Canis lupus familiaris: one gene and its partners. The protein of the gene in region 1 purifies or fractionates together with the protein of each later gene. This does not show direct contact. Links are inferred from orthologs where the notes say so. Each region holds a gene or a part of one and is shown on either strand. Other genes may lie near its edges.

The links.
Region 2: the proteins of CDH1 (region 1) and SRC purify together in Homo sapiens (affinity purification with western blotting; 5 studies listed by BioGRID and IntAct, with this or other methods). This does not show direct contact. The link is inferred for Canis lupus familiaris from reciprocal best matches to the Homo sapiens genes CDH1 and SRC.
Region 3: the proteins of CDH1 (region 1) and PLEKHA7 purify together in Homo sapiens (co-immunoprecipitation; 3 studies listed by BioGRID and IntAct, with this or other methods). This does not show direct contact. The link is inferred for Canis lupus familiaris from reciprocal best matches to the Homo sapiens genes CDH1 and PLEKHA7.

What each region holds. Positions count from the first base shown.
Region 1 is NC_049226.1:81,354,812-81,358,457, reverse strand, and holds part of CDH1 (cadherin-1 precursor), read left to right. Parts: intron 1-1,137; coding exon 1,138-1,382; intron 1,383-3,646.
Region 2 is NC_049245.1:26,580,162-26,583,807, forward strand, and holds part of SRC (proto-oncogene tyrosine-protein kinase Src), read left to right. Parts: coding exon 1-139; intron 140-1,590; coding exon 1,591-1,746; intron 1,747-3,646. UniProt on the Homo sapiens protein: Non-receptor protein tyrosine kinase which is activated following engagement of many different classes of cellular receptors including immune response receptors, integrins and other adhesion receptors, receptor protein tyrosine kinases, G protein-coupled receptors as well as cytokine receptors.
Region 3 is NC_049242.1:40,307,229-40,310,974, reverse strand, and holds the start of PLEKHA7 (pleckstrin homology domain-containing family A member 7), read left to right. Parts: upstream 1-1,467; 5' UTR 1,468-1,520; coding exon 1,521-1,603; exon of another isoform or gene 1,604-1,633; intron 1,634-1,696; coding exon 1,697-1,773; intron 1,774-1,860; coding exon 1,861-1,918; intron 1,919-3,746. UniProt on the Homo sapiens protein: Required for zonula adherens biogenesis and maintenance. Acts via its interaction with CAMSAP3, which anchors microtubules at their minus-ends to zonula adherens, leading to the recruitment of KIFC3 kinesin to the junctional site.

The DNA of each region.
Region 1 (3,646 bases):
TGTCCCCTGGTGTCTTCTCAGAAGTAGATCAACATGGCATTGGCAGGCTGGGGGTGGGCAGCTTTCCCAGGTTCTGGTGGACCATTTGGGGTTTGCAACTACTCTTCAGGCACATGTGAGAAGCTCCTACGCAGCCCCCTGAAATTGAGGAGAAAGAAAGTACCATCGGTTTTAAAAGGCTTTCTCCCTGAAACATTTGTCTACCCCCATATCCATTTTGCAAATGAGAGGAAAAATGGTTTACTGGTCTCTGCCATTTTGCCGGATTATTTTAGAAGTGGGACACATGACTTTGAAACCTGAAAATTTAAGAAGTTGGGTGACCTTCTTGTTGAGGTTACTAACAGCAGATCACTGAATTTGCCCCCAAACTTAGACTTCCTATTGAGCAAGTGAGCAAAGCCATTCATTTCTGCATCACTCACTACATAACCTTATTTCCCACCCAATATTTGATGTCACCATTTTCTATGCTACAAATGAAAGATAGAAGCTAGGAAAATGAGCCCCCGCCAAACACACTCATTCACAAATGTTCCCGGTGTACTCCTTACAGCGACTCTATTTAGTATTTCCTTTTCCTATGTATTTGGATGTGGAAACAGACCCACAGGGCTAGGAAATGGCCCACCCTGGCTTTGTTTGACCTTTTTGCCGCCTCATTGGAACCGCGTGTTGTCACTAAACTTAACTGAGGTTAGTGAGTTGGACAAGCAGGGTCTTCTGTCCATCTGCTATCACAGAGACAACACGTCGCATAAGATATGAACATTCTTACTGGTCTTGGATAATAAATGACTTCCAGTATGAGCATTTCTTACTGGGTTTTGCTGTGTGAGGTTTCATGTAGTTCGTTTTTATTCTTCTGCTAGGGTTCTCATCTTGAATGTGGTTGCTTGTTAGCTTTTGAAAAACATCCATGGCCGGGCCTCCCTCTCAGAAATTACGATTTACTGGATTAGGGTGCAAGCCTCCCTTTTCTTCTCTAGTTCTTAAGTTAATTCTTCCTAGCACAGCTAGGTTTGAGAACCACAAGATATTGTTAACCAACGACAATAGTTAAGGATTTAATCTTTTTTTTTTTTTTCCTAAGCTAACATAAAATAGGTTCTTTTAACTCATTTCTGTTCTCTTTAGGGCTTGGATTTTGAGGACAAGCAGCAGTATGTCTTGTACGTGACTGTGGTGAACGTGACCCCGTTTGAGGTCATCCTCTCCACCTCCACAGCCACTGTCACTGTGGACGTGGAAGATGTGAATGAAGCCCCCATCTTCATCCCTTGCCCAAAGGTAGTGTCAATCCCTGAAGACTTTGGTGTGGGCCAGGAAATCACATCCTACACCGCCGAGGATCCAGATACATATATGGAACAGAGGATAACGTAAGTAGGGAGATTTTTCAACAGACTAGCAGGAACTGGGGAGTTGTGTGTGTATGTGTATAAAATACTTAGTTCTTAGTATTTTATCATCGTTGGTCTGTGCAAGACCCTTCTCTTGTTTGGCTTGCCTTTTTTTTTTTTTTTTTTAAACTCCCATTCCCCACACCTTTTCCATTCCCTCCACAGCCAGCCATTCTACTGTGTTGCTTCTCGAAGTTCATGCAGTGTAGCTGAAGGGTGGTTTTCAATTACATACGAGGTGTTGTATTATAAGAAGCTCACTATTTCTTCTCCTTTTAAACTGGAAGGCACCTCTGTAATCTAAATCATACCCATGTGCAAACACATGTGCAAACCAAGAGCAACACCCCATGACCATGTAAGACAGAGAAGGTCCTTAATCTTTTGAGGGCTGGATTTGAGTAGGAAAAAACTATTTGAGCAAGCACAAATCCAAACATGAAACCTGTGTCTTGTGATTTGTAACGTGATTTCCCGGGAGAACAGAGCTTGTCCAATGTGCCCACTTCTTCTTCTCAGAGAAGTTCCTGCCTGTTCACATCTACTTTAGAGGAAACTGTAATACTGAACTATTTATAAAAAACATTCTACAAATCTGGAGTAGCATCTTGCTTACTAATTGAGTATATTCTTGTTTTGGGATGTGTTTGTGTTTTAGCATTAGTACTTTTGACTTGTGAAACTTCCAACTTCAAAAAGAGTTTAAGTGGGGCACCTAGGTGGCTCAGCAGTTGAGCATCTGCCTTCAGCTGTAGGGCATGATCCTGGGATCTGGGATCAAGTCCCACATTAGTCTCCTTGCATGGAGACTGCTTCTCCTCCCTCTGCCTGCGTCTCTGCCTCTCTTTCTGTGTCTTTCATGAATAAATAAATCTTAAAAAAAAAAAACAAAAGTTTAAGTGGGACTTCAGCTTTTAAGATTATTCTGGGAATTTTTTATGCTGATTCTGTCCTGAGCAAAAGAGCTCTTGAATACCTTTAGACCACATATGTGCCCTGTACAGGAGAACTATATAAAGGGTGCAGGTAGTGAGCTTAAGCCTGCTAGAATTGAATGATTAGGTCAGGGATGATGGGGAATTTTTAAATGGAGGCTGATAACCTCCAAGCCTTTTGATTGTTTTCAACATATTTTTTTTTTTTAATTTTTTAATTTATTTGAGAGAGGGAGAGAACATGAGCAGGAATGGGAGTTGGGGTGGGAGATGTGTGGGAGTGAGGGAGAGGAAGAAACAGGCTCCCTGCTGAGCAAGGAGCCCTGATGTGAGCCCCAATCCCATGACCCTGATATCATGACCTCAGCTAAAGGCAGATGCTTAAGCAACTGAATCACCTAGGTACCCCTAGTTTTTAACATTTACTAAAAAAACAAAAGGCAGGGACAACACAACATGACATGATGTGCCACTTGATGTGATTCAGTAGCATGCACAGAGTACACTAAGGAAATTTTTTTTTTGGAGGAAACAAAAGTTGGGACAGAATGTAGTCAAGTGTTAGGATCTGATTTCGAAGAAATGCAGAGAATGAAGAAACTTAAATGCCACAGGAAGCAGTCAGCCAAATACAGAATGTGGAAACTATATGACAAATGGTACTGTTTCTTCAAGACATGAATGAATGGCAAAAGGGTGGGGGGGCTGCTGTCGATTAAGAGAGTACTGAGAGGAAAATGAACCAATTGTAATGTGTAGACTACACTTACATATGGACTCAACAATCCAACTATAAAAACACCTTTGAGTCAATTAGAGATACTTGAACATGGATGTGGCATTAAAATGACATTAAGTAACTATTGTTATTTTTGCAGGATGTGTTAGTGGCATTCTGTTTTTTTTTTTTTTTTTTTTTTAACCTTTTCTATATAAGATACGTGCTAAGGTATTTACAGGAGAAACCTTTTGATGTCTGAGATTTGCTTTAAAATTCTCTGAAGTTTGGGAACCTGGGTGGCTCAGTGACTCTTGATCTTGGGGTTGTGAGTTTGAACCCCATGTTGGGTATAGAGATTTCTTAAAAATAAAATATGAACTAAGTTAAATACTCTCATTTCATGCATATATTCAATGTACTGCTCATAATCCAAGGATTCTTACTGTGGTCCAAAATATAAGGGCTAGTAAAGTGTGTGTGTGTGTGTGTGTGTGTGTGTGTGTGTGTTCCAAGTCCCAAGAAGGCTTTGTTAAATGCAGAGGGGAGTGGGTGAGTCCTTCCTAGCTGTTGCTTTCCTCATGGCTGCC
Region 2 (3,646 bases), on another chromosome or scaffold:
CTCTCTGTGTCGGATTTCGACAACGCCAAGGGCCTCAATGTGAAGCACTACAAGATCCGCAAGCTCGACAGTGGTGGCTTCTACATCACCTCGCGCACACAGTTCAACAGCCTGCAGCAGCTGGTGGCCTACTACTCCAGTGAGGGCCAGCAGAGCGGATGCTGGGAGGGGGGGCCTTTGGGGCCAACCCGGGGCTGGGGCTCTTGTTACCCTGGGAGTGTGGAGCTCCTTTGTCCCCCTGCCCCTCCTCTCCCTTCCCTCTTCCCCCTCCTTTCCTCCCCCCCTTTTTCGTCCTGGATCCTCCCGTGCCCTCCTCCCACCAGGCCCATCCCCCCTCTTTCTCCCCCTCTGCAGCTGGCTGGAGAGGAGGGCACTGCCTAGAGGGGAGCAGGGAAGGGAGGGGGGCTGAGGCTGGTGTCGTTTGTCTCTGCAGCCCTAGGACCGGTCTGAACTGGTTGCTGGGAGGGGAGGGGGCGGCTAGACCGCTGCAGCCCATAGCCCACAGAGGGAGGAGGGAGTGGGAGGGAGCATAAGTGGCTGCGTAGGGAGCCAGGGCGAGGGCTTCAGGTACACACACACACATACACACACACACACACACACACACACACACACGCGTGCGCGCAGGTCATGGGGGGGAGCATGCATGCAGTGTCTGCACATTTCGGGGCTTCCCTGGGGACACCGAAGGCTCAAGGGTCTGTGTGTACTCAGGTGGGTGGGTCTCTGTTGGTGCCTGTGTGTGTGGCCGTGGACTCTGTGTGCAGGTATGGCCTAACTTGAGAGTGCCAGTTCGTGCCCATCCTGTGCCACCCTCCTCTCCTTCTGCTGGGCCGCCTGACACCCTCTACCATCTGCCACCCCTCTGTCTCCTTGGCTCTCATTCTGCAGTTCATTCTGCACACTGTTCCCCCACAGCAAAATCGATCTCAGGATAGAGACCCCCAAGTGGCTGCTCTAAACCGGGCTGGCCTCCCTGCCTTACCTGGGGCCCCTTGCCCCCGTTCACTCTCTTGCAGTGCCTCTGGCCTCCTTTCAGTTCGTGCAACCAGAGGCTTGTTCCTCTCCCAGGGCCTCTGCATGTGCATGCGTAGTGCAAACCTGCTGTTTGGAGTGGTGGGCCTTAGTCAACCACTCACTGTCCTGCAGACCCAAGCTCAGGGGCCACTTCCTCAGGGAAGCCTTCCCAGACTCCATCCAACCCATCTGCTGTGGCACCCATGGCTCTCCTCCGTCACACTTGTGGCCGGGAGGTGATTAAGGGAGGTGGGGCTCACTTGGCACTGTGAGCTCCCCAAGGGCAGGATTCCACTGGGCTTGTCCGGCACTGTGTCCTTGCCACTGACCGGGGTGGCCACCCTTTAAAGTCTGCTGAATGAATGAATGAATAATTCGGTGAGCATGTGCATGAGGCAGTGTGGGCCTGTGTGGGGTGAGGGTGTGGACACTCAGGTGTGGATCCCTGGCCTCAAGGGCATCCTTTGTGTCCCCAAAGCCTGTGTGTGTACCATGTGTATATCAGACCGTGGGACGGGGAGGTCCCAGGGCAGACCCCCTGCCTGAACTCTACCTCCCTGCCTCTGTCTTCAGAACATGCCGATGGCCTGTGCCACCGCCTCACCACCGTGTGCCCCACATCCAAGCCACAGACTCAGGGGCTGGCCAAGGATGCCTGGGAGATCCCTCGGGAGTCTCTGCGGCTGGAGGTCAAACTGGGCCAGGGCTGTTTCGGAGAGGTGTGGATGGGTAAGGCCTTGCCTCTGCCCCCAGAGGAAACCATGGTCCCCTTGGGGGGGCTCTGGTGTCCCCAGTCGAGAACCAGGGAGATGTCCATCCCATAGGACAGCTCAAGGTCCCAGGGCTCCCCCACAACCCTTCACCTCCATGAGTCTCAGTTGCCTCTGCTGAACAGTGGGCTCTATTTTTTTTTTTTTTTTTTTTAAGATTCTATGTATTTATTCATGAGAGACACACAGAGAGAGGCAGAGGCAGAGGGAGAAGCAGGCTCTCTGCGGGGAGCCCAATGTGGGACTTGATTCCAGGATCCCGGGATCACGCCCTGAACCAAAGGCAGACATTCAACTGCTGAGCCACCCAGGTGCCCCCAGTGGGCTGTGTTTTAAAGGTGGAGCTCCCCCACACCTCTGCAAACCATGGCACCTGTTTGCCGAGAGCTGCTTGGGGCTGGGCATCCCGATTCCCCAAAGATGCTGTGTGGTCCAGGCCAGGTGGCTCCACTGTGAGTCTTAGTCCTCCTCAGTGTAAAGTGGAGATGAGGATAATAGGACCCACCCGCGGACTGTGAGAGAACGCTGGCCCAGTGTGCATCCACACGTTAGTGCTTAGCCGCGGGACGTGAAGCCTCAGCTCTCAGAGGGAGTGCTTGGAAGCACAAGGTCTGGCATGTTCTGGGCCTGTTCACGATCTCCTGTCTAACCCTGGAGAAATGGCAAAACTGTCCTTGAAAACAAACACCATGAAACCCTGACAAAATGCAGGCACCCTCTGCTTGGTTCCTGCTGCCACAGAGGAATCAGGGAGGTTGGTGTGAGACAGGCAAGACAGTCTTAAGCCCGTGGCTTCAGCTGGGGAATCATCATGTGCCGTCATGTAAGCCCCAGTGTTCACTTGGCACCACTGTCTCCACTTTCCTCCTCTCAGGGGAGAGCAAGGACAGTTCCTGGGTGGGAGGCCCTGCAGGGACACAGGCCTGCAGGCTGGTCAGGCCAAGTCAGGAAAGGGGAAGTGCTGGCTTTTAGCTGGGGAGAGGGGAGGGGGATGTTCCGGAGACTGCAAAGACTCATTCCTGGCACACGTGTGTGGTAGTAGCTGTGGACACTGCAGGTAGACTCATGAAGTGGCAGGTACAGATCCCCAGACATTGTGCTGGAGGTGCCCCAGAGGTAGGCCTGGGCCCCCACTCTCAGATGGAGGCCCAGAGACTGGGAGGAATGGGCCCAGGGCCACTCATCAGAGGACCTTGGGTCCAGTGTGCTAAGAACTCGGATTAAACACGCTGCTCTAGCACACAACTTCCCCCAAGGCCTCTCAGTGTGAAAATCCAGATAATAATAAAATGACAAGTGTAACTATTATTTACCGAGCCCTCACAGTCGGTTGGGCCCAGAGCCTAAAATCTCATTTAATTCTCAAACAACCCCGCAGGGAGACACTATAACATCTGCATTTTCCAGAGGAGAAGACGGGCTCAGAGAAGGGAACTGACTGGCCCACGGTCTCACTGCTGTCAGGAGGCAGAGTTGGGCTTCAGACCCTGGCCAGTCTGACCTTCACGCCCTCTGTGTCTGGTCCAGGCCTTGCTTTTTAGAGAGCATGCCTCTCGTGGAGGTGGCTTTGTCCTGAGGCCAGCTCTGCTTCCCCCGCCAGCCCCATTCATTTGCTAACTCCTGACTCACCTCCTGTGTGCTGCCCAGAAGGAACACGGTCACTCAGGAGAGAGTAGTTGAGTTTTGGGGCCATGATTGTCCATCTCTTTGGTGAAAGTGCTGCTTTTTGGGACATTCCTAATAATGGCAATCCCAACAAAAGATCAACGGCCACTGTTTCTTGAGTGTGTACCAGAGATTCATTCCATCCTTTTAATAACTCCCTGAGGAGTGGCCTGTCGTGGTTCAGAAAGGGGCTG
Region 3 (3,746 bases), on another chromosome or scaffold:
CTCCTTCCCCAACACCACTGTCTTCTCAAGGATGGGCACCTTTATGATCTCTTCAACATCCCATACCCTTCTCATGAGCCTGTGTTTGCTCTCCCATCCTTTCCCTCTGGGGTGCTCTCTTCTCATTCAAACCTGACCATTCTTTCTGGGCACAACTGGTTTCCACCTGCCTGGGGTGCTTTTCTGAATAACAGTGCCTAGGCTACCTAGAGTCTCCTGGGAGCCTCTCCCCACCAACTGCAGCCTATACCTCTGGAAGGTTGGGCTTGACATCTCCCAGAGTCTAGCTTCCCCTCTGTCCGCGCTCAGCATACAGGGGTGCCAGTGTGGAGTGTGTCTTAGGCACTTTTTCAACATTTATTGAACGTGTACACGAGTCAGGCACTGCTCTAAGCACCGGGAATGTGGCAGTATATGAGACAGAACTAGGTCCCTCCTCTCCGCCCTCTGACATTTTAGCCTGTTGCTGGTAGCTCAGCCTACAACATAGACAATAAGCACACACACGCACAAGGATGCCAACTAAGTGTATACACGTAATGGAATAGACAGTGGAGGGAGGAGGGAAGAGGTCCCCTTTGGATCAAAGGGGTCAGGGGAGGGATCCCCCAGGAGCTGAGATTCCAGCATAGGCCTGACTGTGAGAAGGCTCCAGCCATGTAAAGAACTTTCCAGAGGCCCCAGAGAGGCCCAGTCTGGCGCTTCTGCTCTTCTAAAGATAGAGGAGATGCAGCCGGTCCACAGCGTCTGTCACTTGACAGGAACTAAAGGCAGACAGAAGCCTAGGATCCCAGCAACTTCGGGGCTGTGTGTGTGTGTGTGGGGGGGGGGGGGGGGGAGGACCCTGCACCCTCCTTCTTCGTCTCCCAGCTGCAAACCTGGGGAAATAAAATCTCGCTTGGCCGGTATTCATGGGCCACCTGCCGGGGGCCAGGGGCCAGTTAAGCACTTTCCAGCTTTGTGACTTCACATACTCTACACGACAATCCCTCGTGATACTTACTATAAACTTTATTTTACAGCGGAAGGAAAAAAACAAAAAACAACCACCGAGGCTGCCCAATATGGATGCAACCTGTTCCGATCTGCGCGGGCCAGAAAGCGGAGTTCGGTTTCCTGGAGGCGGGAGGTCCGCGGTGGGGGTCGGGTGTGTGTGGGTTCGGGGCGCACCTGCTCCCCGGAGTTTGCCCGCCGCGCCCCGGCAGCGGCCCTGGGCCCCGCCCGGGTCTCGGCGGGGCCTCCGGGCAAGGGGCGCGCGGCGGGGCGGGGGCGGGGACGGGGACGGGGACCGGGACGGGGACAAAGGCCGCGGCCGCCGCGCTCGGGTCGGGCCGAGTCCCGCGGCCGTGCAGGCGCTCGGGGCTCCCGGGACCAAGCCGCGCGCCGCGATGGAGCGCCCCGGGGCGCCGCGGGGGCCCGCGCAGGCCGAGCCCGCCGCCCCGCCCCCTCCCCCCCCGCCCCCGCCCCCGCCCCCTCCCCCTCTCCCGGCGGCGGCGGCGGCGGCTCCGCGCTCGGCGAACATGGCGGCGGCGGTCGGGCGGGACACTTTACCTGAGCACTGGTCCTACGGCGTGTGCCGGGACGGCCGCGTCTTCTTCATCGAGTGCGGCGCGGGGGCGCGGGCGGGGGCGCGGGCGGGGGCGGGGGCGCGGCGGGGGCGCGGCGGCGGCGCTAACAGGTGCACCTCTCTCCGCAGCGACGAGCTCCGCCGCACCACCTGGCTGCACCCGCGCACCGGGGAGCCCGTCAACTCGGGCCACATGATCCGCTCAGGTGGGGGCCGGGCCGGCGGGGGCTGGGGGCTGGGGGCTGGGGGCGCCCGGGGGCTCCAGGTTGACCCGGCTCTCTTGCTTCCCGCAGACCTGCCCCGCGGCTGGGAGGAGGGCTTCACGGAGGAGGGCGCCAGCTACTTCATCGAGTGAGTGGCCCGCGCGCCGCGCCGCTTCCCGCCCGCACCTGTGCTGTGCGCGGGGTCCCCGCCGTCCCCGCCCGCGCGGCCCGAGAGGCTGGGCGCGCACAGAGCCGCGGCCGCGCCCCGCTGGGGTCCTGGGCGCGGGGTCCGGGCGGGGCCGCCGGCTGCCCCCCCCCCCCCAGCACCCCGGGTCCTGCACCCGGGCGGGATTCGGGCGCGGGGTTAGGGCCCCGGCGGCGGCGGCGCGGGCTGGGCCCGTGGAGCTAGGACTTGCGCCCGGGGTCCCGGACGGAGCGCGGCGGGGAGAGGCGCAGGGAACCCCCGGGAGAGGCCTCGGGCGTCCACCTGGTTCCTGGGGCGACGGTGCAGCGTCGGGACCGCGCCCCCTCCCCGCCTGGAGCGCGGGGTGCGGGGTGCGGGGTGCGGTGGGGGCGGGGAGGGAGCCCCTCAGCCCGAGGTGCTGCTCGGACCCCCGCGGCGCCCGGCGGGACGGTCACTCCTGCCCCCTGGAGCCGAGCGGCACTCGTTCAGGCAAAGCCCGCGGGCGTCGCGCCCCGCCGGTGGCCGCGGACCCGGGCGTGCGGAGCTGCGGCCCCGGGGCTAGGTTAGGGCCCCGCCCCGCCGCCCCCGCGCTCCGGCCCGAACTTTCCCGCGCGCGGCGGGTACCTGTTGTCTCGCTGGAGCACCCGGCCGGCGTGCTCGCCAGTCGACCCCCGGCAGTCGGAAGCTGCGCTTGGTCCTCAGCCCGGGGCCTGGCACAGAGTAGGCCCTCGGGAAATCCTCGTGTGCGGAATGAATGAACTAGCCAAGGGCTGCGGCTGGACGGTGGTCTGACAAGTAGCGTCACTTGGGGGGGAAGGGGGGGCTGCGAGTCCACCAGCTCGAAGCGCTGCTCGTCAGTAGTAGAGCAGCATAGTCGGAGCTTGATGGTCTCGGAAGATCCTGGATCCCCCCTCCCTACTTTGGGCTCTTGCAGGATGTTTGAAATCCTGGTGGATGAGATGTGTACAACTGAACACTAGGGCTCTGGCTGGGGTCCTGCCTCATGTCTGTGTTTGAGAGAGAAGTTGGGGAGCTGGTGAAGACCTCAGAGCCCCTCAGTCATGGGCCTGGCTGGTCATAACTGCATTTATTAATATTTATTAGATTTCTCCTCGTGTGCCACACATTATTCTAAGCATTGGAACCACAGAAGTGAGTAAGGCAGACAAGGTCTGGATGCTCAGGGGGCTTGCAGTCTAGTGGGGAGAGGGAGCAGAAAATAAGTTAAAAACCAAGAATAGGATCCCTGCGTGGCGCAGCGGTTTGGCTCCTGCCTTTGGCCCGGGGCGCGATCCTGGAGACTCAGAATCGAATCCCACGTCGGGCTCCCGGTGCATGGAGCCTGCTTCTCCCTCTGCCTGTGTCTCTGCCTCTCTCTCTCTCTGTGTGTGTGACTATCATAAATAAATAAAAATTTATTTAAAACAAAACAAAACAAGAATAGGGCAGCCCCATGGCTCAGCGGTTTAGCGCCGCCTTTAGCCCAGGGCGTGATCCTGGAGACCCAGGATCCAGTCCCACGTCCAGCTTCCTGCATGGAGTCTGCTTCTCCCTTTGCCTGTGTCTGTGCCTCTCTTCTCTCTCTCTCTGTGTCTCTCGTAAATAAATAAATAAAATCTTAAAAAAAAAAAAGAATAATGTCAATGGTGACTACTGTGCAGAAAATTAAAATAACGTAGTGTGATATCAAGTGACTGAGTAGTGGTGTTGGATTGAGAGGTCAGTAGTGGTGTTTCTCAATAGGTGACATTTATGGTAAAATTTGAATGACAGGGAAGAGCCATCTTTGTGT